2 linked regions of the Astyanax mexicanus genome follow. The protein of the gene in region 1 interacts with the protein of each later gene in a pairwise test. Links are inferred from orthologs where the notes say so. Each region holds a gene or a part of one and is shown in the gene's direction. Other genes may lie near its edges. The genes, in order: sergef and dph3.

Evidence for each region.
Region 2: the proteins of sergef (region 1) and dph3 interact in binary tests that used the Homo sapiens proteins (3 or more experiments, as listed by UniProt). The link is inferred for Astyanax mexicanus from reciprocal best matches to the Homo sapiens genes SERGEF and DPH3.

What each region holds. Positions count from the first base shown.
Region 1 is NC_064409.1:48,171,706-48,183,586, reverse strand, and holds the start of sergef (secretion-regulating guanine nucleotide exchange factor), read left to right. Parts: upstream 1-5,490; 5' UTR 5,491-5,507; coding exon 5,508-5,579; intron 5,580-6,243; exon of another isoform or gene 6,244-6,415; intron 6,416-7,456; coding exon 7,457-7,592; intron 7,593-8,410; coding exon 8,411-8,566; intron 8,567-8,697; coding exon 8,698-8,792; intron 8,793-9,818; coding exon 9,819-9,879; intron 9,880-9,983; coding exon 9,984-10,097; intron 10,098-10,289; coding exon 10,290-10,352; intron 10,353-10,889; coding exon 10,890-11,048; intron 11,049-11,881. Other genes in the region: tph1a (tryptophan 5-hydroxylase 1a), read left to right, coding at 153-349, 541-676, 1,614-1,740, 2,041-2,136, 2,420-2,553, 2,919-3,093. UniProt on the Homo sapiens protein: Probable guanine nucleotide exchange factor (GEF), which may be involved in the secretion process.
Region 2 is NC_064412.1:43,332,972-43,345,828, forward strand, and holds dph3 (DPH3 homolog), read left to right. Parts: upstream 1-6,483; 5' UTR 6,484-6,542; coding exon 6,543-6,650; intron 6,651-11,342; coding exon 11,343-11,417; intron 11,418-12,424; coding exon 12,425-12,493; 3' UTR 12,494-12,812; downstream 12,813-12,857.

The sequences.
Region 1 (11,881 bases):
AATCACATCTCTGGTACAAAAGTACAAACAATACAGAACCACAATTTGTTCTATGGCATATCTTAACAAAACTTTGGAGTACATTTATTTGTATTTATATTACTTAGAAATAATTGTTCCTAATACATTGTTACATATGTTTTCTTTACCAGTGGAGACCCCATCCCCCGTATTGAGTTCACGGAAGAAGAGGTGAAGACGTGGGGTGTTGTGTTCCGAGAGCTAAATAAACTGTATCCCACTCATGCCTGCCGAGAACACCTGAAGAACCTACCTCTGCTCACCAAGTACTGTGGATATCGTGAGGACAACATTCCTCAGCTAGAAGACGTCTCACGCTTCTTAAGAGGTGAGATGGGACACCACACCACATACTGAGTCTTCTCTGGTGTTAGTGTGTGTCTGTGTGGATGGGAGTTTAGATGGTATTCTCATTGAGAACTTCTTGCAGAACCTCTGTTCACTATTCACTGTTTATGCTGTGTTCACTGTTCACTGTTTAAGCTCTTTATGATGTTAAATGTGTTGTTGTATTCTCAGAGCGTACCGGTTTCAACATAAGACCTGTGGCAGGATACCTCTCCCCCAGAGACTTCCTGGCAGGCTTGGCCTTCCGTGTTTTCCACTGCACACAGTATGTCCGGCACAGCTCGGACCCTCTGTACACACCTGAACCGTAAGTATATATAACAAGCATATGTAATTAATACCTCTGTAAATATTCCATGGAAAATCAGTCAGTGTGTAATTTTGACAATATGTTCAAATGCTGATACACTATATGACCAAATGTCTTTGAAAACCCCTTTTAATGAATCAATTAATTCAGCTACTTTCGAACAACTAGCTAGAGCATAGGTCGGCAATAGGCGGCCCGCGGGCCAGATGCGGCCCGCAAGCAAGAAACATCTGGCCCGTGAGGTTGAACTATAATGAAAAAAAAATCGGACTGTCCGTCTCAAAAATGCTCTTTATTTAGAAACTTAATTTTCCAAAACAGAAAAATTTATTAAAGATTTTTTGATAGAGCCACGGGCTGTTAGATAACTGCTAGCTTCTTTATTCTGTTATTTTTTTTTTTTATTCATTTGTTTTTTTTTATTTAACAAACAGGTATATCATTAATTGCGCCCCAATGGTCAGTCCACAGATTTCACCCACAACAGCCCACTTGAATGTCTGCTTGTCATTTTAAGAGCGCCCTCCCGCCACCGCGCCCGCCAATCTCCCCCCCCGCCAAGTGCTTGTGGCCCGCCATGTAATGGCTTGGAAAAAATCTGGCCCGCGGCCAAACTTAATTGCCGACCCCTGAGCTAGAGGATTATAATGCCCCCCAGAATTAAGTTAAAGAATTAGGGATGAGCTCAATCTAGCAGAAAGCCTTTCCTACACAGTAGAAACAGTTGCTTTGAAAAAAAGCATATAATCTTTTTTTTATACTCTTGATTTATCTAAAGAATGAATAACTAGTTGTCCCATTACTGTTGTCTATGTATTATTGCTGTTTATGAGCGTGTGTCATAAAATATGCAGTAATAGTAGTATTGTTAATTGTTAACAAAAACATTTAGTTCAATGTTAGACTGAATGTTTTGGTGATCTGTATGTTTCAGAGACACATGTCACGAGTTACTGGGTCACGTACCTCTTTTGGCTGAGCCCAGTTTCGCTCAGTTCAGCCAGGAGATTGGACTTGCTTCACTGGGAGCATCTGATGAGGCAGTTCAGAAACTTGCCACTGTAAGTTTCAAAAGGAACATTATCTGTGTTATCATTGCTGATTTTATTGCATGACATAATTTTTACTTTATCTATACTGATCATGACTGATTACCACCTCACTGGTTTAAAAACAACAGGCAATTAAATCTAAATATCACTCATTATTGGTGTGTGCTTTCCTATGCTAGATTTCTAAATTGATTTAACTAATCTTTTTTATAAATACTGATTGCAATATCTACCTAGAACACCGTATAAGTTCATCAATCTGAAATGTACATGCAAACATGACAATTAATGTTGTTCTTTCTATTTCAGTGTTACTTCTTCACTGTGGAGTTCGGGCTGTGTAAGCAGGAGGGGAAACTGAGAGCATATGGAGCAGGTCTGCTGTCCTCCATCAGTGAACTGAGGGTAATATTCATAGCTCACTTCTCTCACACACTCTATCCACTATCCCAGAACACATTTTAGTAGAACACATTTAAACATATTTTAACCTGATTGTGCCATCTCAAAAGATATCAAAGTTAGCATGCTATTACACTTTATTTATTATTTTTTTTATGTATTTATTTGTTTATTATTATTGTGAGGACATTTAATGGTTAATATAAATGTGGCCTGCATGAATGTACTTACACATTGCTTCAAAATGCATGACTATAATTAATTTGGCTAATAAATCTTTTCTCAGCACGCTCTGTCGGGGAATGCCCGGATCATGCCCTTCGACCCCAAAGTTACATGCAAACAAGAGTGCATCATCACAACTTTTCAGGACGTGTACTTCGTGTCAGACAGCTTTGAGGAGGCCAAAGTCAAAATGAGGTGTGTGAGGATTCAGAAAGTAAATCATATCTTGAATTGATTTATACCTGCAATATTTACACTGCTTTTTAATACCATCCCAGTGAAAAACAAGCATCTCCATTTATGTTTTGTATAAGATTTTTTATATATTTTAAATAGATGAACTGCCCCTTTTCTAAATTTCATGTTGAATGGAACAATATACATTTTCAAAATATATCTAACATAATAAACTCTTTTACATTGATGTCAGTTGATAGTTAAGAAAATTTTATCTCTCTCCTTTAGTGCTGCTGTATTGGAGATGCAGGTTTTCATTGAACAGTGACGATATATGCAGTTCATGCTATCAACTAAAATTGCATTAATTTCCCACTTTTCAGGGAGTTTGCAAAGACAATCAAGCGGCCATTCACAGTGCGTTACAACCCCTACACACAGAGCGTGGACGTCCTAAAGGACACAACTAGCATCAACAGTGTGGTGGAGGAGCTGAGACATGAGCTGGACATTGTGGGAGATGCGCTGAACAGACTCAACAAACATCTAGGCGTCTGAATGACTTACAGTGATCTTACAAATCGTCTTATATACACTGCTTTTTCCATCAAAGAGCAAAACCACAGAACTGTTTCCAGTTTCCACCAAATCCACAATAGTGCATCTAATGACAATATCTCACTCATTGTTCAAATCCATTTCAAATTATGTTAATCATCATTTCTGTTTTAGTACCATGGAGCTTTAAAAACTTGCAGTGGTACTAATTTAATTAACTTATTCATCTATTGTCTTTTACACAATACTTGTGGACATTATATTTGCTTTAAATGTCATTGTGATAAAGTAATACTCTCTGCCATCAATATATTGTTTTTGTGATTTCAGCTTTTTTGTGTAGAAGTCATTAAAATCATCTTGGCATCATAAGGCACTTTATCATATAATTTGATATTTATTATGGGCTTGTACCTTAAAGCTTTAGTATCACTAGTTTTCTATCTCTATCCACATTATTAGGGGAAAAGGACAAGCACTTGTAATGTTTTGTCTCAGTGTGAACCTAATTCTATCATATTTTTATGTTTATATTTATTATTAGCTGTGTCTCATGTCCTGTATGCTCTCTTTGTTTTATCTTCATAAAATCAGAGCTTTTATTCATTTTTTCATTTGTCACTGGGTATGCAAGGGTCATTTTACACATCAGACATCTAAGACTTTGGTCTAATCAATATAGATGCTCCTATTCTCAAACAGTTCATTTACAACAGATTTACACTATGATTTACACTTCAGGTTTCAAATGGCTAGATGAATGTGTTGTAATGTGTATATGTGTAGAAGCTTATTATAATAAAATAACTTATTTTTGTACTTTATTGGAGTCTGTTATTTGCATCTTACTTTTGTACAGCATTGCAGTATTTGTCATATATATTTTAGCTCTGCCTGTGGCCTTTCTGTAGTCTTTCTGTAAATTATCAAACCATCTTTAAAACAACAAAACATAAGAAAAACAACTGTGAGATTTTTTGGGGGAGCCTTCACCCAGTTTTAAGCACACTTATATTTATTTTCTTACTGTGATAAAAAAAGAGCATGTGGCTGTTAAAATCCATATGTAACATAAATGTCACAAGAACAATTTCATAACTTAAATTTTACCATTTTTTTCTAGAACTCATGTCATAACTAGTTATATGAAATATCAAACATTTAATTAAAGATTTTGAATTGTTAAAATGGTTAAAGCAGATCTGTAGAAGCTAAAAATACACTTTTCATCTCATACATAATTTTGACTCATACATTCTGTGAATAAGGTCAAATGAACAAACATTGTCCTATGATGCTCCTAGGGTGTTCAGTATATGCCACTTATGGATGTCATGAGTTACAGTGAAGGACAGATTACTGTAAGAAACTTTACAGAGCTTGTTTTTTTATAGATACAGGTCTACAGATTAAACGTTAAAACACAGCTAAAGGATAAAGTCTAAATGATGTAATGAGCATTCGCCGCCAGATGGCGCTGTTTCTGCATCTCAATCAAAAAAAAAAATCCACCTGAGAACATCCTCTGGGTTTGTCATAATGAATGGCTCCATATGGATACAGCTAAATATATGAGGCTTTATGATGTTTTAGTGTAAAAGACATTTGTAAAGCTTTTCAACTACCGTTAAGATTTTTTTCCTTCACACTTACCTTGTTTGGGGTTGAACCAAAGTAGATGGTTGTAAAGGGACCCTGAACCTCAGTCCAAAGGACCAGAGTTGGTCTCGGTCCAGATCTTCTGAACCATGGTCGGAAGATTATGTAGTGTGAGAGCACTATTCTAGATGCTTTCGGATTTTCTGACCATTTACAGAGAGTCAGTCTTAAAGTAAACCAGAGGAAAAAATAATTGATGGACACTAACACAGACTGGGAATATTTTTTTTCCTGTAACAGTAGATTAATCCTTGTTTATAAACAGAAATATTTTTTTAACCACACAAAACAAAATAGTAATTCAGTAGGACTGTTCATGCTGTGGTAAATTACCCTAAAAGTGTGAAACCAAAACCAACCGGCCCAAATATCTAAAATGTAACTAAATACGAACTGTTAATTGTGTGAAAACGCCCTTTACCAACCACTCAGCTCACAGTATCAGTAATGCTAGCGTCTTTATTGCAGAAATATCGTTTGCTTTAGAAAAATAGAAACATATAAGTAAGTTTTCTTTTGATTTTGTAGTGAAACACTTTATTGTACGTTCTATAATTTAATGAATATTCTGGATAAGTAGTTCATTAATATTTGTAATTTGAGTTTTAGCCGTTTAGCTCCATTCACCCCCATTTATTGAGGACTCGCTGGCGGGCTCCCTCTAGCGGTGCGCAGTGATTTTCTGCTGTAAGGGGGGAGACAGGAAGTGGGTTCTGGCCACACACATCATGGCGGATCTGAAGGACGCGTTCAGCATGTATGTCGTCATCATAGTGCGCCCACTGATGGACCCACCGAGGATACGAAAACATGTCTTGTACACGTGGGTAGGTTTCTGACCATCTATCAAATACTGCCGAGTTTCCTGAGAGCGCTGATAGGAGTCTGTAGAGATGAGAGAATCAGCAGAGCAGTGTCTGTACCGAAGCGCTGAGATTAACGGGGTTTAGTGCTCTTTTTCTCACCGGTTTAGCTCATATAACAGTTTTTAAGAAATAAACAACACTGTTTCAGAGGGCGAAAGCGTGAAACAAGCATTTCTGCAGTGTCCCTTTCAGTTAGTTAGTTAGTTAGTAGTGCTATATGTTATCTGGAGATATGGGACTGGGTGCGATTAAACCCTGTAAATGAGGCGAGTTTATTCATTCATGCAGTTTCACTCATAAAACATCTCTATACAGCAGACAGAAAGTTACTGAAGTTGATTTGTTGGAGGCAGGAAAAATGATCAAGCATAAACATCACTTTAACAAGGGTCAAACTGTGATAACTAGATGACTGGATCCGAGCATCTGAAAAACAACAGAGAGATGCTCTAGTGGAGCGGTTCTCATTGCTTTTTAAATGGTTGCCACCTTTATTTGGCAACGTGTTGAGTCCCGGAATGTACCAATTTTCTTCCGTATTTCCATAAATGTTTAATACGCATGTCTGTCACACCCACACATCAACACTAAATGCCTTCTCCCTGGGCTCCTCTTTCGGTTACAGACTCCCCTTTAAAACGTGTCTGCGAGTGTTTTTGGTGGCGCGCGGTGGGATGTCTGATATCAGACAGCAAGGATCAGAAGAGCAACACTGCCCACACTAAAAAAACAAAAGACCCCAATAAGCATCAGTCTCACAGTTCTTCACCCCCACTCCTCTCCTGAGACTGATCTGGGTAATTATGTTATTATCTGGTTGTGATTTTGCTAGAAGATGTCAGTGCATGAGGCAGAGATTATTTTAGTAGACTATTGTGGTTTGATTGTTTGTTTAGGTGTTAGAATGGTTACATGTTGAGTTTTGTCGAATAAATGATTATTAATATACAGTAGTAAAAGCCAATTTAATATTTTAAATAGCCAAAATAATGAATGAACAGTTAATAACAGTTAATTGTTAAGATAAAATGTTTATTTAGAGATCCCCAGACACTGTATTCCTCACAAATGTTGACAAAATACACAGAAATCTGTACAGATCTTTATATTTTTGTGGAATACAGTGTTCAGTGATCATTACATAAAGGTGCCCTGTCCCACAGGTGGAGCTGTGGTGGGCGTCCCTTATTTTAAATTCTGAAAGGTGGCATCCCTAGTGTTAAAATATATATAAAAAAAAAGTCCCAAAGTTGAAACACATATAACTGAAAATATCTTATTTGACTGAAACTCATAAAAATGCCAAACTGCAGTTGAGTTTCATCTTGTAATGGATGTCAATTAAGTTTTACTTTTGATTATAAATTATGTATGATTTATCATATGCAGTAAATACAGAACAGTACGCTAGCTCTGCAGCTGGTTTTACCATAAACCCAACCACTTTTCTCCTGTATGATCTTACACAAGCCTCTTCAGACCTTAGAATTCCCCAAGTAAGGGTTTTGTATTAAACATACCTGGCAACCTATAGCCGATTTTAAGTCTAGGGGGAATGAGAAATACTGTGCAGTTTTAATGTGGCACAAGATCTTATCACACCAGTCAGTACAAGTCAGAACCTACCAAAAGTCAAATGACAGCTGGAGAACCAGTGACAGGGTCATGGGTATCCAAGGCTCAATCTGAAGAGGTTATCCTGGCTATGTCTTGTGGAGAATATTTTTTTTGGATTTGTAGATGCACCCAGAGGAAAGGAGAAAAGAAGATACCTTTGTACTAATTGCAGTCTAGTGTTGGTTGAATAAATGATACGTAAGTTTTGTGGTTTCTCTCAGGGTGCAAACAGTTTTGGGCAGTTGGGTCAGGGCCATGCCGAAGATCAGGCGGAACCGCAGTGTATGGATGATGGTCAGCACAGCAGAAAACTACGGGCCATTACTGGCGGAGGCGGCCATTCAGTGCTCATTACTGGTGAGATATCTTTTAAATGTTGACATGTGAAACCCATTATAGTTGACTCTAGGGTGGCAGAATTGATCTTTTTATTTTTATCACAATGTACACACGTGCAATAGGACTGCAGCAATTATTCTATATAATCGTCAATGTTAAGTACAAAATTTAGTCAACTCCAAATGTCAGTATATTTCAGTAATTTGTAACTACAGTGCGCTACAGAAAAGGCTGAGGACAGAAAAGCAATGGGTGTAAGGGCTGTCTACTTACTTTGTTTGTCATCAAATGTGCCAAAACACAATAGATTACACGTTTACATAATTAATGTGAGCATATTCCACACGAAAATGTATTATGGACACTTAAAGGGAATTTAAATACCAAATTCAGCTCTTTCTATTATTTTGAAGCTAGGAAAAGCTGGAGGAGGAGCTGTGCCCACAGGAAGCAAAGGTGACTAATCAAAAAATAAGTGACAAAATAGTACACTATTGTGCAATGTTCCCCTTTTTTATTTGTTGCTTGAAGCAAAAAGAAAAAATCACCTGTATTAATTTTTCATGACACATCTAACAGAAACAGATTATATCTGCCAATTACCATTTGCTAAAATGTCGAATTGCAGGGAAAAAAATCCAAAGTTTTTCAGTATTATACGGTCCTAGTTGCTAGACTGTTAATAAAATCCTTTTAAACATGAATTGAATTAGAACAGTGATCATCCAGTTCACACATCATTAGAATGTTTTGTATTTACTATGGTTATGTGGACAAGGGTGCCCTGTATTAGTCCTCTCTGTAATAACACATTGTTTTCTCTCTACTGTCTCCAGAATCAGGGGAGCTGCTGGTTTGTGGACAAAATCACAAAGGCCAGCTTGGGCTCGGACACATATTGGATATCATGACCTTTCAGCTTTGTCCTTTGCCTGGAAATATGACTGTTCAGCAAGTATCTTGTGGATGGGACTTCACCATTATTCTTACAGGTAGCTTCCAGTTAAACAACTACTCTTGAATGAAATCTAGTTATCCTGACCAACCCATTAGTCAGCCAATTTAAAGAAAAGTCATGTCTGTCTTGCTTGGAGAGCAACAGTCTTAAAAATATATCTTGCAGATGACGGCCGCGTCTTGGCGTGTGGCTCCAATGCTTTTGGACAGCTGGGTGTCTCACCACAAATAAAACACACAGCAGAGCCGCTGCTCATCAAGGTAAACACTGATCATACTATATATTAGCTTGCATGGTTATGTACATGTGCCATGCTGTTTGGAATGCCCTCAGAACGCTCTTCAAAGGAGTTCTGTTCAAATTGGGCTTGATGGCACATTGCATTTTCCTGCTGGAATGTCCCATTATTATTGAGGTAAATGAAGTCCATGAAGGTCACAAATGGTCAGGGGCACTGGTCAACAATGTGTTTATGTTCATCAGTGAACCCAACCAATGTTGTAACAAAAAATACACCCCACACCAGTGGGGAGCCACCAGCCTGCACAAGGCCTTGCTGACAACTGTAATCAATGGCTTTATTCTTCTTCTAACCTCATTTCCTGCTTCCCCTCCTTTCCTGCTCTATCCCACTATTCCCCTTTTGCCTCCTTTAGGTCCTTTCAAAAATCTTTTGCCTTGGACTTCTATGTCCTCTATTGCTAATGTACATCATTATTTGTAAGTCGCTTTAGATAAAAGTGTCCACTAAATGCTTTTTTTAATGCACAGTGTATTTGAGTCGTCCCACAAATTATTGTAATGGTGTTTACTAATAAAATAATTTAAGAATTACTTAAATAAATTAAACAAAAACACATCAATGGGATTTCCTCTGAAACACAATGTTCAAATTTTTTTTACCATATGAAAAGAGACCATTGGTCTTTTATGCTGATGGAGCTGTTTGCTGGAGTTAATCACAATATGACTTTTTCTGTGTGTATCATGTGTATCAGGTTCGGACTGATGATTTTTTTTTTACTCTGCGTCCTCCACAAGGCTCTTTAGTTTAACACATTTTACAGTCTCTCTGGCTGAATTCGAGTCAGATATGATAAAAAGCTGAGTGACTGACTCTGAACTTTGCTGTGCTGCTTTTTTACGCATTGGAACAGAAGTAACAGATATCTTAGCAGATGTCAGTATGTGTGTGTGTGTGATTGCAATACTGTAGAATAATTATAGTATATAATAATATGTATAATAATAATTAAATTACAATGTTTCTAATGTTGCTTTTGTAGTCTTTGAGTGAATCAGTCATCAGTGTAGCTGCAGGGCTGAGACATGCACTTGCAGTAACAGGTATGTCTTTCTTCATTTTCCTTACTTCTATCATTCTATACTTTTGTCTCTTGCTCCTGCATTACTTACAATTACAGTGTGTGTGTTTGTGTGTGTATGAGAAGGTTCAGGTGTTGTATATCAGTGGGGTACAGGTCTGTCTGCTCAAGCAAAAAGAGCACTGAATCCTCAGCCTGTCCCAGCCCACCTCAACTCACAGGAGCCCTGTTTAGTCCTAGGTAAACACCCTAACACATTCTTCTTCAGTACACAGTGTACAAGGGTTTATCTCACTTTGACTGTGTGAGGTCTGCCAAACATACTGAACACTTTTTTTATACAGATTTGTATAGCTTTTCATTTAATGCAGTTATTGCTGTTGCAAGAAATGTTCCCGTTCTTGTCCTAATCTAGTTTTTTTGTATTCATAGGACTGGAACAGGTAACCTCCCAGAGAGTGGCTGCAGGGTCTGGCCACTCTGTCTGTTTGACAGGTGAGGTATTTCTCAATGAGTTCTGTAATAATATTGGTCAGTATCAATATAATGTGTATTTTGTATGTATAGCGCTGTTTCATAAAACACATTATTACAAAAATAGAGTAATAAAAACCCCTTTAAGAAGGCAATCTTTGTCATTTCCATCACAACCTTCATGCTGTTTCCTTTCAAGAAACTGAAAGCCTTTACTGCATGTTCAGCAATCAATAACAGTAATAATATTTCTTGCATTGCCTTCATATTTAGAATTAAATATTTATCTGTCCATCTGGTTGTAGTAAAATATCTCAGCAATAATTTTAGAAAACAAGGTCACCATCAACAGTTCAAAATGTTTACAAGCACATTTTCAATAAATGCAAATTTTTGGAAAAAAGTGGACCCATAATTCACTGTAAAACTATAGTGTTTGGGGAATTTAGCAAGCATTATAACAGAATTCATAGAGCCAACATTATTGCTAGATTGGAACTAATTACTGTTGCTAAATTAATTGAGGGGGAGCTTTGACATTTTGTTTTGATCCCGTAGAAACTGGGGATGTGTTCCTGTGGGGCAGTAATAAACACGGCCAGCTGTGCAGCAAGCATTCCTTCCTGCCATTTCCTTCTGCTTTAGATCGCTCACTGCTAAACGGAGAGAGAGTTTCTGCAGTATGCAGCGGCTGGACACATGTAATTGCTCAAACGGGTATGAACACACACACACACACCTGACTGGTAAAGCACTTATTTCTTTGAGTTTGAACATTTTCAGCATAAAATCCCACTTTTATGATCAGACAGATGCTTTGTCATTCAAGTGATGTTTACGTTAGCTCAGACAAAGATTTTACCGGAAAGCTAATTTCTTTGAGTGTAAAATTGATGGCAAAGTAATTTCTGTAAAGGTGTCTTTCAAATACAGTGGCATGTAGAATTTTGGGAGACCCTATGGTCAAAGTATTTGTTCCTATGGATAGCTAATTAGTAGTCATTGTAGGAGCATTTTATTCAATTAGTATAATAATCATATATTAACATAAAAATGATTGATTTTAAAGAGCAATACACACACACACACACACACACATTATATATATATATATATATATTAATATATATATATATATTAATTTTAAAAATATATTAATTTTAAAAACATTCTAATTAAATACCAATGCTGTTTCTAGACACAGCCAACATAACAGTTTATGGTAATGTGCCCTCCTTGCCAAGACATACATTATGGGCAATATAAAGGTCAGAAAAATTCTACTTGTTTCCACAATGTGTCAGGCTTGATCACATGATTTTACGTAGCACTTCACACTGTCAGAATATTGGCTACAGGGGCCCAACTTTTAAATGCCCCTTTGAATGCCATGTTCAGTCAAATGAATTGGTGACAAATTCCAGCTTTTTGTTTCATAAATGAAAATAAAGCATGATACATTCATAGCAGAGATGTATATAAATCTAGATTATATTATATCACCTGGAAATTAAGCCTACTTTGGTGTTAAACACATTAGAGTTCTTGTA
Region 2 (12,857 bases), on another chromosome or scaffold:
ACACTTTATTTACATATATTATTTAATAGTCAGACCTTTATTCTCTGACAATATATCAATCAATACAGCAAAGTTTGATTGACTTTTGATTGAACTTTTTTGAATGATTTTTATCAAGTTAATTGAGCAAAAAGTCAGAGACACACTACATTTTAAGTTTTAAGTTAAGAAAATATTTGGGGGAAATGTGGTATCAAGTTGTGGAAGCTAAAATTCTTATTTTATAGAGTTCTCAACACAGCTTAAAATACACGTTTAATTAAACCTAAATTAGGCTACTTAAACCTAAAAACAGTGAGATAGCACTGATGAGATTCTTAGAAACTACGGATAAGACATGTTCTCTAGTTCTTGGAATACTTAGATTTAAACTCTCTGTTTAAGCATATTAAGCATAGCTGACTTTATTTAATAATGTTCTGTTGACTTTCCAAGACAGTGGGCTGTTCAGGGTCATCTCACTTACCTCGCCAGAGGATACCCTATTAACTCTGCATTAGATAACTGCACAATCAGATTTCATTCCAAACCCAATTTCCTATTTACTATACTGACTTTTCACAGAACCAGAAATAGAGTTTACACTGAAGAGCGTCGATTACGCAAGAGTGTTTACATCTTATCAGAGGAACAGAGGAAATAACGGGATGAGTTATGTAATGAGCAAAAAAGCGTACAATTAACATAGAAACTCATTCTACTGAGCAAATACAGTCCACCTCACCTCATTAACCGGTCAGTTTATCTATTTACTATAGTTCTGCATTTAAACATGAAGCAGGTCTTCTCATGGAAATCTGAAAAATCACATGTGATCAGAAATATCAACACTGTTCCAGCAAGACAGGGGGGGCAAGGGGTGAAATCGGATTGGGCCTTAATTTAGCTTAGTCATATTGGTCGTCTAGCTCGGTCTGGTTGGTCATACTGGTTATCTAGCTTGATGTTGTTGGTCATGCTGGTTATCTAGCTTGGTCTGGTTGGTTATTCTGGTTATCTAGCTTGATGTTGTTGGTCATACTGGTTATCTAGCTCAGTCTGATTGGTCATACTTGTTATCTAGCTTGATGTTGTTGGTCATACTGGTTATCTAGCTTGGTCTGGTTGGTTATTCTGGTTATCTAGCTTGATGTTGTTGGTCATACTGGTTATCTAGCTCAGTCTGGTTGGTCATACTGGTTATCTAGCTTGGTGTTATTGGTCATACTGGTTATCTAGCTTGATGTAATTGGTTATACTGGTTATCTAGCTTGATGTGATTGGTCATACTGGTTGTCTAGCTCTGCCTGATTGGTCATACTGGTTATCTAGCTTGATGTGATTGGTCATACTGGTTGTCTAGCTCTGCCTGATTGGTCATACTGGTTATCTAGCTTGATGTGATTGGTCATGCTGGTTGTCTAGCTCTGCCTGATTGGTCATACTGATTATCTAGCTTGATGTTGTTGGTCATACTGGTTATCTAGCTCAGTCTGATTGGTCATACTGGTTATCTAGCTTGATGTTGTTGGTCATACTGGTTATCTAGCTTGGTCTGGTTGGTTATTCTGGTTATCTAGCTTGACATTGTTGGTCATACTGGTTATCTAGCTCAGTCTGGTTGGTCATACTGGTTATCTAGCTTGGTGTTGTTGGTCATACTGGTTATCTAGCTTGATGTAATTGGTTATACTGGTTATCTAGCTCGGTCTGGTTGGTCATACTGGTTATCTAGCTTGATGTGGTTGGTCATACTGGTTATTTAGCTTGATGTGGTTGGTCATACTGGATATCTTGCTTGATGTGGTTGTTCATACTGGTTATTTGGTTGGTGTTGTTGATCATACTGGTTATCTAGCTTGGTGTTGTTGGTCATACTGGTTATCTAACTTGGTGTTGTTGGTCATACTGGTTATCTAGCTCAGTCTGATTGGTCATACTGGTTATCTAGCTTGATGTTGTTGGTCATACTGGTTATCTAGCTTGGTCTGGTTGGTCATACTGGTTATCTAGCGTGATTTTGTCGGTCATACTGGTTATCTATCTTGGTCTGGTTGGTTATACTGGTTATCTAGCTTGATGTTGTTGGTCATACTGGTTATCTAGCTCGGTCTGTTTGGTCATACTGGTTATCTAGCTTGATATTGTTGGTCATACTGGTTATGTAGCTCGGTCTGGTTGGTCATACTGGTTATCTAGCTTGATATTGTTGGTCATACTGGTTATCTAGCTTGGTCTGGTTGGTTATACTGGTTATCTAGCTTGATATTGTTGGTCATACTGGTTATCTAGCTCAGTCTGGTTGGTCATACTGGTTATCTAGCTTGGTGTTGTTGGTCATACTGGTTATCTAGCTTGATGTAATTGGTTATACTGGTTATCTAGCTCGGTCTGGTTGGTCATACTGGTTATCTAGCTCAGTCTGGTTGGTTATACTGGTTATCTAGCTTGATGTGGTTGGTCATACTGGTTATCTAGCTTGATGTTGTTGGTCATACTGGATATCTTGCTTGATGTGGTTGTTCATACTGGTTATTTAGGTTGGTGTTGTTGGTCATACTAGTTATCTAGCATGATGTGGTTGGTCATACTGGTTATCTAGCTTGATATTGTTGGTCATACTGGTTATCTAGCTCGGTCTGGTTGGTCATACTGGTTATCTAGCTATGTGTTGTTGGTCATACTGGTTATCTAGCTTGATGTAATTGGTTATACTGGTTATCTAGCTCAGTCTGGTTGGTCATACTGGTTATCTAGCTTGATGTTGTTGGTCATACTGGTTATCTAGCTTGATGTGATTGGTCATACTGGTTGTCTAGCTCTGCCTGATTGGTCATACTGGTTATCTAGCTTGATGTTGTTGGTCATACTGGTTATCTAGCTCAATCTGATTGGTCATACTGGTTATCTAGCTTGATGTTGTTGGTCATACTGGTTATCTAGCTCAGTCTGATTGGTCATACTGGTTATCTAGCTTGATATTGTTGGTCATACTGGTTATGTAGCTCGGTCTGGTTGGTCATACTGGTTATCTAGCTTGATGTTGTTGGTCATACTGGTTATCTAGCTTGGTCTGGTTGGTCATACTGGTTATCTAGCTTGATGTTGTTGGTCATACTGGTTATCTAGCTCAGTCTGATTGGTCATACTGGTTATCTAGCTTGATGTTGTTGGTCATACTGGTTATCTAGCTCGGTCTGGTTGGTCATACTGGTTATCTAGCTTGATTTTGTAGGTCATACTGGTTATCTACCTTGGTCTGGTTGGTTATACTGGTTATCTAGCTTGATGTTGTTGGTCATACTGGTTATCTAGCTCGGTCTGTTTGGTCATACTGGTTATCTAGCTTGACATTGTTGGTCATACTGGTTATGTAGCTCGGTCTGGTTGGTCATACTGGTTATCTAGCTTGATATTGTTGGTCATACTGGTTATCTAGCTTGGTCTGGTTGGTTTTACTGGTTATCTAGCTTGATATTGTTGGTCATACTGGTTATCTAGCTCGGTCTGGTTGGTCATACTGGTTATCTAGCTTGATGTGGTTGGTCATACTGGTTATCTAGCTTGATGTGGTTGGTCATACTGGAAATCTTGCTTGATGTGGTTGTTCATACTGGTTATCTAGCTTTATATTGTTGGTCATACTGGTTATCTAGCTTGGTCTGGTTGGTCATACTGGTTATCTAGCTTGGTGTTGTTGGTCATACTGGTTATCTAGCGTGATGTGGTTGGTCATACTGGTTATCTAGCGCGATGTGGTTGGTCATAATGGTTATCTAGCTTGGTGTTGTTGGTCATACTGGTTATCTAAACAGATACAGGACTACAGTCTGTAACGAGTTGTCCCCCTGTCACAGGGGGACGTAGGGCCCTCGCATATCAGCGCAAATCGTACCGGGCCAAACCGAGAAACCGGTGAAAATTTGACCCATATGTGATTTCTCATGAAATGTACAGTTATATTGTAGCGGCCAATTTTTTTTTTGAGTTTTTGAGCATTCCCGTAATGTAAACTCTGTATTGAATGCTAGGTGGCGCTTTAGAGCCAATGAAATACGTATATATGAAATCTCAATTTCAGATCAAAGGAGAGCGTAAGTCAAGCAGTCCTGTAAAGTTTTGATCCATTGCAACCTCCCCAAACACTTACCAACACCAAGATGTGTTTACTTCCTGTTTTAATGGGGTATCTCAAGCAATTCACCTGTCCACCACTTCGTCCTCGTTTAAGATATCTACTATTCCTTCGCAATTTATCCTCAGGTATGTTAGTAGTTTATTGCTGATAAATATCAAGAGTATTCGACAAGTTCCCTAGGAGCAGTTTGACAAAGTATGCAAAAAAATTGTGTAAAATGCAATTATTTCAAAATGGCCGACTTCCTGTTGGGCGGAGTCAGTCCTACCAATACTAAAAACGTGTCTAATGATGTCTCTTGTGTTTTTGCCAAGTTTCAGAAATTTTCAATTATCTGTGTTCTGACCGTGTCATTGTTTCACTTTGGTTTAGTGTTGCGTCTCTAGTAAATCAATTGTCCGCCATTCCGACACCGTTTTAGCGATCAACTAATCCTTTGGCAGTTTTCATCAAATATGTCTGTTGTTCATTTACAGCGAAATAAGAGTTAATCTGATAAAGACTTTAGGAGCAGTTTAAATGAGTTTGTGAAAAATGTGTAAAAATATTACAAATTCCAATATGGCCGACTTCCTGTTGGGCGGAGCTATACAAGCCAATTGCAAATATGTGCAGGGTCACACTATCTACACTCCTAACAAAATTTGAGAAGATTAGACAAAATTTGACACATTCACAGCTAATTTATTTACCGAACAAATTAGGGGGCGCTGTAGAGTCTGCTAGCTACACATGAAAAAATTATTACAATATTTGTAAAGTGTTTCTAGGTCTTATGGAATCTGACCATTTTCAAGAGTTTTTGACCATCCTCGTAATGTCAAATATGCATTGAAACCTAGGTGGCGCTATAGAGCCAATGAAATATGTATATATGAAATTTCAATTTCAGATCAAAGGACCACGTAAATCAAGCAGGCCTGTAAAGTTTCGTAAGTTTTCATCCATTTTAACCTCCTCAAACACCTACCAGCACCAGAATGTATTCACTTCCTGTTTTAATGGGGCATCTGAAGCAATTCAACTGTCCGCCATTTAGTCCACGTTTAAGATATCGACTATTCCTTTGCAATTTATCATTAGGGGTGTTAGTAGTTTATTGCTGACAAATATCAAGCGTATTCGACAAGTTCCCTAGGAGGAGTTCGACAAAGTATGCAAAAAATGTGTGTAAAATGCACATTTTTCAAAATGGCCGACTTCCTGTTGGGCGGAGTCAATCATATCAACACTGAAAATGTGTGTAATGATGTCTTTTATGTTTTTGCCAAGTTTCATGAATTTCCAAGCAGCTGTGTTCTGACCATGCTAATGTTTCTATTTGGTTTAGTGTTGTGTCTCCATTAAATCAACTGCCCGCCATTACGTCATCGTTTCAGCTATCGACTATTCCTTCGCAATTTATCACCATGTATGTCTGGAGCCTATCCAAGCCCAATTTAGAGATAATCTGACAAAGAATCTAGGAGGAGTTTGAATGAGTTTGTGAAAAATGTGTAAAACTTCCACAAATTTCAATATGGCTGACTTCCTGTTGGGCGGAGCTAATACAAGCCAATAGGTAATATGTGCGGGATGATAATTTCTATGTTGTTGCCAAAAATCGAGAATATTGGAGAAATTTTGAGACAGCTACAGCTAATTTAATGGCCTAAACAAAATAGGGGGCGCTATAGAGTCCTCTAGCTACACATGAGAAAAACAACAGAATATTTCTAAATCATTTCAAAGACTAATTGAATCTGCCAATTATCAAGAGGCTGAGAGCTTTTCATTAATGTGATATAAAATAGGTGGCGCTAGAGAGCTGACGAAACACGAATTTACAAATTTCCAACTTACGGTCAAAGTTTGGCCTAAGCCAAATAGCTCTGTAAAATATTAGGAGTTTTCAAACATTTTAACCCCTCCGAAACCCAGCGGGAAACTTTTTATTTTGCAACTTCCTGTCAAAATGGCTGACTTCCTGTTGGGCGGAGTCAAATAAAACCAAGTGATCCTTGTTCTTTATGAGGAGGTCAATGAGCATACCAAAGTTGGTGCACATTGGACAAACTTCATCCCGGCTACTGCCGACGTTTGGTGGCGCTATGGAGCTCCTGAACTACGCCCATGCCCATGCTCTATGGAACTTTTAAATTTTCGCCTGCGCCTTCGGTGCTCGGGCCCTAATTACAGAACTACACAGTGTCCCAAGTGATCAGTGGAGCTGATAGCATGGCTAATGTAGAAGAGAAAGAGGTGATCATGTTCTGTCTGATTGGTGTATGTGCAGCAGTGTGATGGTACTCGGTGGGAAACAGCGGCATCTGGTGGAGAGAGGGTGCTGTGGGTGGGTGGGTACATTGGCAAAACTCATCTTCTACGTCACAGTCCTGCGACGGCAGGTCACGCTGCTCGTGTGAGTGAAGCCGGCTGGGTTAAAATGTCTGTTTATCACGACGAGGTGGAAATAGAGGATTTCGAGTTTGACGAGGAAACGGAGACCTACTACTTCCCGTGTCCGTGTGGAGACAGATTCGCCATCACCAAGGTAAGTGTTTACACAGGGGGCATGAGCAGTCTGGAGCTAGTTAAACTGCTTATTGGGCTACTGCCCGAGTTATTATCTATCATCCAGAGCAGCCTAGAAATACACACACCTATATATATAATAGAAAGCCCAGTTATTAGAGTAGTTACTATTATGGGTTGTTTTATCAGGTCAAAACTATAGCTGAGGTCCATTCAGAAAGCAGCTGCCCAGGTAACTTAATCATTGCCTTCAAATTCAGCTCTCTATTACGTCATCACGTCCATAGACATGTATGTGTGTGTGTATATATATATATATATATATATATATATATATATATATATATATATATATATATATATATATATATATATATAGGTAATTCTCCATTTGGAGTGGGAATTCAAGTGGATACATTTAAAAAAAAATCTATTTCATTTGTCCCAGAAAAACCTTAAAATGTCTGTTAACAACTCCATTTACCAAATATGCAAAAGGAGAGCTTAATTTCAAATAGATTTGAATATAAATATTAATATATAAATATAAATATTTAATTAATATTAAATAAATATATTTAACATAAAATGCAAATTCTTGGTCAATTTGTCACTGGTGTTATCCCATCTTGAAGAATTAATTTTGTCCTCATTTTATTTATTTTAATTGAAATTACAATGTGGCTAAATGTAACTTAACATGTTACCAAAGTATGTTTTTACACAAGCACTGAAAATAACAAAAATATACCTTTCTTTCCATATACTTAAATGCATCTTCCTTTACTATTAAAATAATAATAATAATAATAATACATTTTTGTCCAATAACCATGAAAATTTAACTACTGATATAAGAATGAATGATTTCAACATTTCATGCAGGATACTTTTAATATAAAAAAAAGTCGTGAAAAAGGCCAAACACCACAAGGTTACACATCTGTAACACCAGTGAAAATGGAGGATTTTGTGAAAAGCCTGCCTCATTGACAGTCAAGAGACCATGTGTAACTACTTAAATCAATGAAATAAAAGACATATGGCAATATATTTGATAAAAAAATATTTTTTCACCAATAATTAAAAATGAGCAAGTAAGGACTCACCTTCTCATGTCTTGAGATGCTTATTCTTTGATAACCCGTGACCCAGGGAAAGTTTAACAGAGCTAACAATATCTGATAACACCTGATAACACCAGTGGCCAAAATCTTTGTGACAAAAGTATTTTCAAAATAAAATGCATTTTTTATGTAGTATGATGTTAATCATGCATATAGTAAATCTGGATCTGTGTTGTGAAATCTCAAAAGTTAAAACTTTTTAAAATATTTCTTTACACTAAAAATGTTTGCTCAAGTATTGAAAATTGGTTATGTGATGAGCTATTGTACATATATAAAGCGCCTTTTGAAATGTGATTTAAAAAGCAAAATCAAAGAGATCATAAGGAAAATGTGGTTTTAATCTTAGGTTACCTGTAAAAATGTATATACTGACTCTTGAAATTATTCCTAATATTTTAGGCTTTTTTTTTTTTTTTTTTTTTTTTTACCCTCCAACCTTTGTGACATGGTTTCCCACTCCAAAGATTATGTGTGAGAGAGAGAGTATGTATGTATGTATGTACATGTAAATATAAAATAAATTAATCTAAACATTTAATTAATGTACCATACCATATGTCTGTCTTTTTTGTTAAAGAGCATAATACAAAGTATTTCAGCATGAAAGCACATATTTGTAATGTGTGACAGCCCTGTATCATTACTACATCTCTGCCGCTTGTAACAAACCAAACTGTGTAAAAATAGGTAGAGTTGTGATTACTATACACTGTTAAAAAAGGAAAAAGAGGGAACACTAAAATAACACATCCTAGATCTCAATGAATAATCTTTATTTATTGCATAGTGGAATGCATTGAGAATAAAATTACTTAAAAATGATCAATGTAAATCAAAATTATCCCATGGAGGTCTGGATGTGGAATCATACTCAAAATCAAAGTGAAAAATCAAATGATTGGCTGATCTAACTTCAGTGGAAATTCTTCAAGACAAGTTAAAATGAGGCTCAGTAGTGTGCTGGCTCCACGTGCCTGTATGACCTCCCTACAACACCTGGGCTGCTCCTGATGAGGCGGTGGATGTTCTCCTGAAGAATCTCCTCCCAGACCTGGATTAAAGCATCAGTCGACTCCTGGACAGTCTGTGGTGCAGTGTGATGTTGGTGAATGGAAAGAGACAGGATGTTCCAGATGTGCTGGATTAGATTCAGGTCTGGGGAACGGGTGGGTCAGTCCATAGCATCAATGCCTTCATCATGCAAGAACTGCTGACACACTTCAGCCACCTGCAGGATAATCAGGAGGAACCCAGGACCCACTGCACCAGCATATGGTCTCACAATGGGTCTAAGGATCTCATCACGGTACCTAACGGCAGTCAGGGTACCTCTGGCGAGCACATGGAGGTCTGTGCCTCCCCACACCATTACTGACCTACTGCCAAATCTGTCATGCTGGAGGATGTTGCAGGCAGCAGAATGTTCCCCACGGCATCTCCAGACACACTGCCTCATACTACCTCTATGGTGAGAGAACTGACAAAATGCAAAAGTGACCAAAACATCAGCCAAAAAGGATAAGAACAGAGAAAGGTCTGGGGTCACCACCTGCAGAACCACTCCTTTATATCTTTATATCCTTATTGTCTCTCATTTCTACCTGTTGTCTCTTCCATTTGCACAACAGCAGGTGAAACTGATTCACAATCAGTGTTGCTTCCTAACAGTACAGGTTGATTTCACAGAAGTGTGATTGACTGGGAGTTACATTGTGTTGTTTTTGAGCAGTGTAGGTGTGTGAAACACCTTCCTCAGTACATATAAATGCACTGGGGGCTAGGGATTGCGGCGGCAGGCTATTCGGCGTCTGTATAAATGTTTATTATCATGTCTAGCGTGTTGTGCTTGTGGGCTCTGTTTACAAATTTGAGTTATTAACCACTTACCTCAGGATAAATCTCAAATCAGCGGCGGCTAATGTGCAACAAGTTACTAATCTAAATATTACAAATCAACTTAAACATTCTTGATATATTTTAATTTATACACTTTACATCACTTTATACTCAGAGCATGGCCAGTTTTATTTATTTATTTATTTCTGATTAGTTGCTTTGTAGAAATGCATGAGTAATGTAACCATAATATAATAAATATTTTGTACGAAAAAACTAAATCATCAAACTAAGCTGTTTCACACAATAGTACATTCATACACAGTCAGCTAGTTTATTTTAATTTTAGTTGCATAAAACAAAAACATAACACGTTTAATAAATGTCTTATTTATTTGCAAATTAAAGTAAGAAATTTACCCATATCCACTAGTTCAGATGTGAAACTATAATAAACATAGTGACAATAAAAAGAAAACGAGCAAAATTAATAATGTTAAGAGAGAAAACTTTGTTACATTTAAAGGAAATCATGCCTCCAGCCGCTCCTGGCCTGGTAATCTCGTTAATACCTGTGGACAAAATAATCTGAATTAGTTACAGTGAGAACACAGTCATAACTCCACTATTCCACTATTTACACATTAAATCACTGAATTACAGGTTAATCTACAGTTATTCCATCTAACAGGGTTTAGCTTAGCTACAAGCAGGGTTTCTCCTTGCATGATAGCAGGGGTTAGCTTAGCATTTAGGAATACATGCTGCCTTCTAAATTGGGGTAAAATAAGGGTGCTGCCCACGAAGGATTATATGCTGCCTTCTAAATGGGACAGTCCTTTTCTCGGGAGCGCGGGCATGCTGCCTAAAAATGCTGCTCAGCTAGGCAGCTGCCTTCAGAATAGAACACACTTAAGTATGCACTCTGATTGGAATTCTACCTTTAGGCTTCTTTTGTTTTGACGTGTTTTGGTTTTTATGCACACATCCATTACTCTTTATATTTAGATACTTGAGTTTTAATTGTAGTGGAGTTACAGTTAGAAGGGACGTCCGAAGCACATACAAAAGTGACTTCATTTAATGACTATTTTACTGTCTGACACAGCTCCCTTTTCTGCAGCTCTAGCTCTGTACAGCTCACTGGGCTCTGCAGAAATAATGTCCCGTATTTACACAATTAAACTTTACAAAGATAAACTTTTAACCACAGTTCAACACACAAGCAGCTGCACATTACTCTCTCTCTATATCTCTCTCTCTCTCTCTCTCTCTCTCTCACTACTCTGGTTTTTGATTAGAAGGCAACTGAATCAATCACCTTACACCAACTAATAAGATATAGCAACAAAAATTTGTTAATTTAAAAAAAAAAAAAAAAACGAAATAACAGGCAAATATAACCAGGCTACAAAATATTTTATGTTAAACGTGGGGGGGTCCGAGTGAATAATTATATAATGTGAATGGGATTAAATGGTGGCAACACCTATTGTACACAGAAGAATATTTAAGTGCAGTAAAAAAAAAAAAAATTATTAGTTTTCTGTCCACCACTGGCTAAACAAAGTCTGCAAATGAAGCTGCTTTTCTGACATCTTGGTGTTAAAACTTTTCTCCCTTATTTAGGTTATATAGCTAACCTCACTCACGAGCTGCTGTAGTAGATATGTGAATAAACAAGCTGTACCTGTCAGTCTGTTTGTCTGTTTAACCTCCTCCTCATACTGTCTGTGTTCTTGCAGGAGGATTTGGAAAATGGTGAAGAGGTGGCCACCTGTCCGAGCTGCTCATTAATAGTTAAAGTAATTTACGACAAGGCAAGTTAACATTCAGTTGTTAGTAATATCAAACATAATCATTCAGGCTGTTGGCATCAAGAACATGTATTTATACAGTGAGTAATAGGCTTGTTCAGTATATTGTAAAAGTGGATATAGTTTAAGCTATATTCTAAAAGATATAAATAATGACTATATCTTTGTATTACACTTGACACTCAGGTTAGCTTGTGCTAATTATGACTTTGAAACATCGTATTTTAAAGGAGCACAGAACACAGATTCACTGTTCCACAGCCCAGTGCTGGAGTCTTTATAGCTAGTGCAATATTGTTTTATTACTCAGTACATCAGTATCCATGACTGGAAAAAATGGATTAAGCTGGAAAATATGATTGCTGTGTAATCTGAAGTAGGGGTGTGCCATATCGTAGCATGAAATGTTTGGACAAACTTTCTTTATTTGTATTATTTTCTAAAATGAGAATGTCCTCAAGAAGCCACTGAGAGAATGCATAGAGTCTGCAAAGTTAGCATTAAAGCAAAAGGTGCTACTTTGAAGAATCTAAATTATAGAAAATAAACTCCATATTGTGTGGAAATATCTATTTTGTTTTGCTATTTACTATATTTGCTTTATTTGCAGTTTATGTACATACACTAAATATGCTGCACTTCAGTTTTGTGGTAGATTTTTGTTGTTGCCTTATTTTGTTACCTTATTATATATTTTTTATACAAAATCTTGGTAAATTCTTGGTAAGTAACTATTCACCAAATAGACAAATAGATTATATTTGTTTGGTTGGTTGCAGTAGTAGTTTTGAAACTAATAAATAAAATAATATTGCATTTACAAAAATAGCCTGAAATATTGTGATCTTATTTTATATCAGTCAGCCCTAGTCTGAAGGCTTAAAAATAAAATAGTCAAAACAAATGAAGATCTTAATTCATCCTCTCAGGTTATGATAGTGAAGAGGCACAGTATTCTGATAATGACCTGCACCCTGTGTTTAAAATGTTTTTCTGCTTTACATTTACAGGAGCAGTTTATGTGCGGGGAAGTCATCGATGCTCCAACTGCATCAGAAACCAAACTGGAGGTGGCCTAGAGATGATGGATCAGCAGATATAAACTGGTCCAGGTGGTAGAGACTGTTTGGGTCTCTTGGACCTGATGCCCTCAGCTCCACTACAAAATGACGCTACTAACTAACTGTATTTGTAGAACTACAGTGTGGGGAGATACGACACTTCCAATCTCTCCGTTCTCTCGCTTTTCAAGACATTTACAATGGCAGTGTTTTTGCACATGGACAGTCAGTTAATGTTGCTAATGTTAAAAAGTTATTTATTTTAATGTAGATGCTCAGTGAAAATATATTTTATATAAATACGTTTCATTTTACAATAAATGCTGCAAAATTCGAAGCGGTGTTAGTTATGTCTTTGATGCAATTCCAGCACTTCCATCAG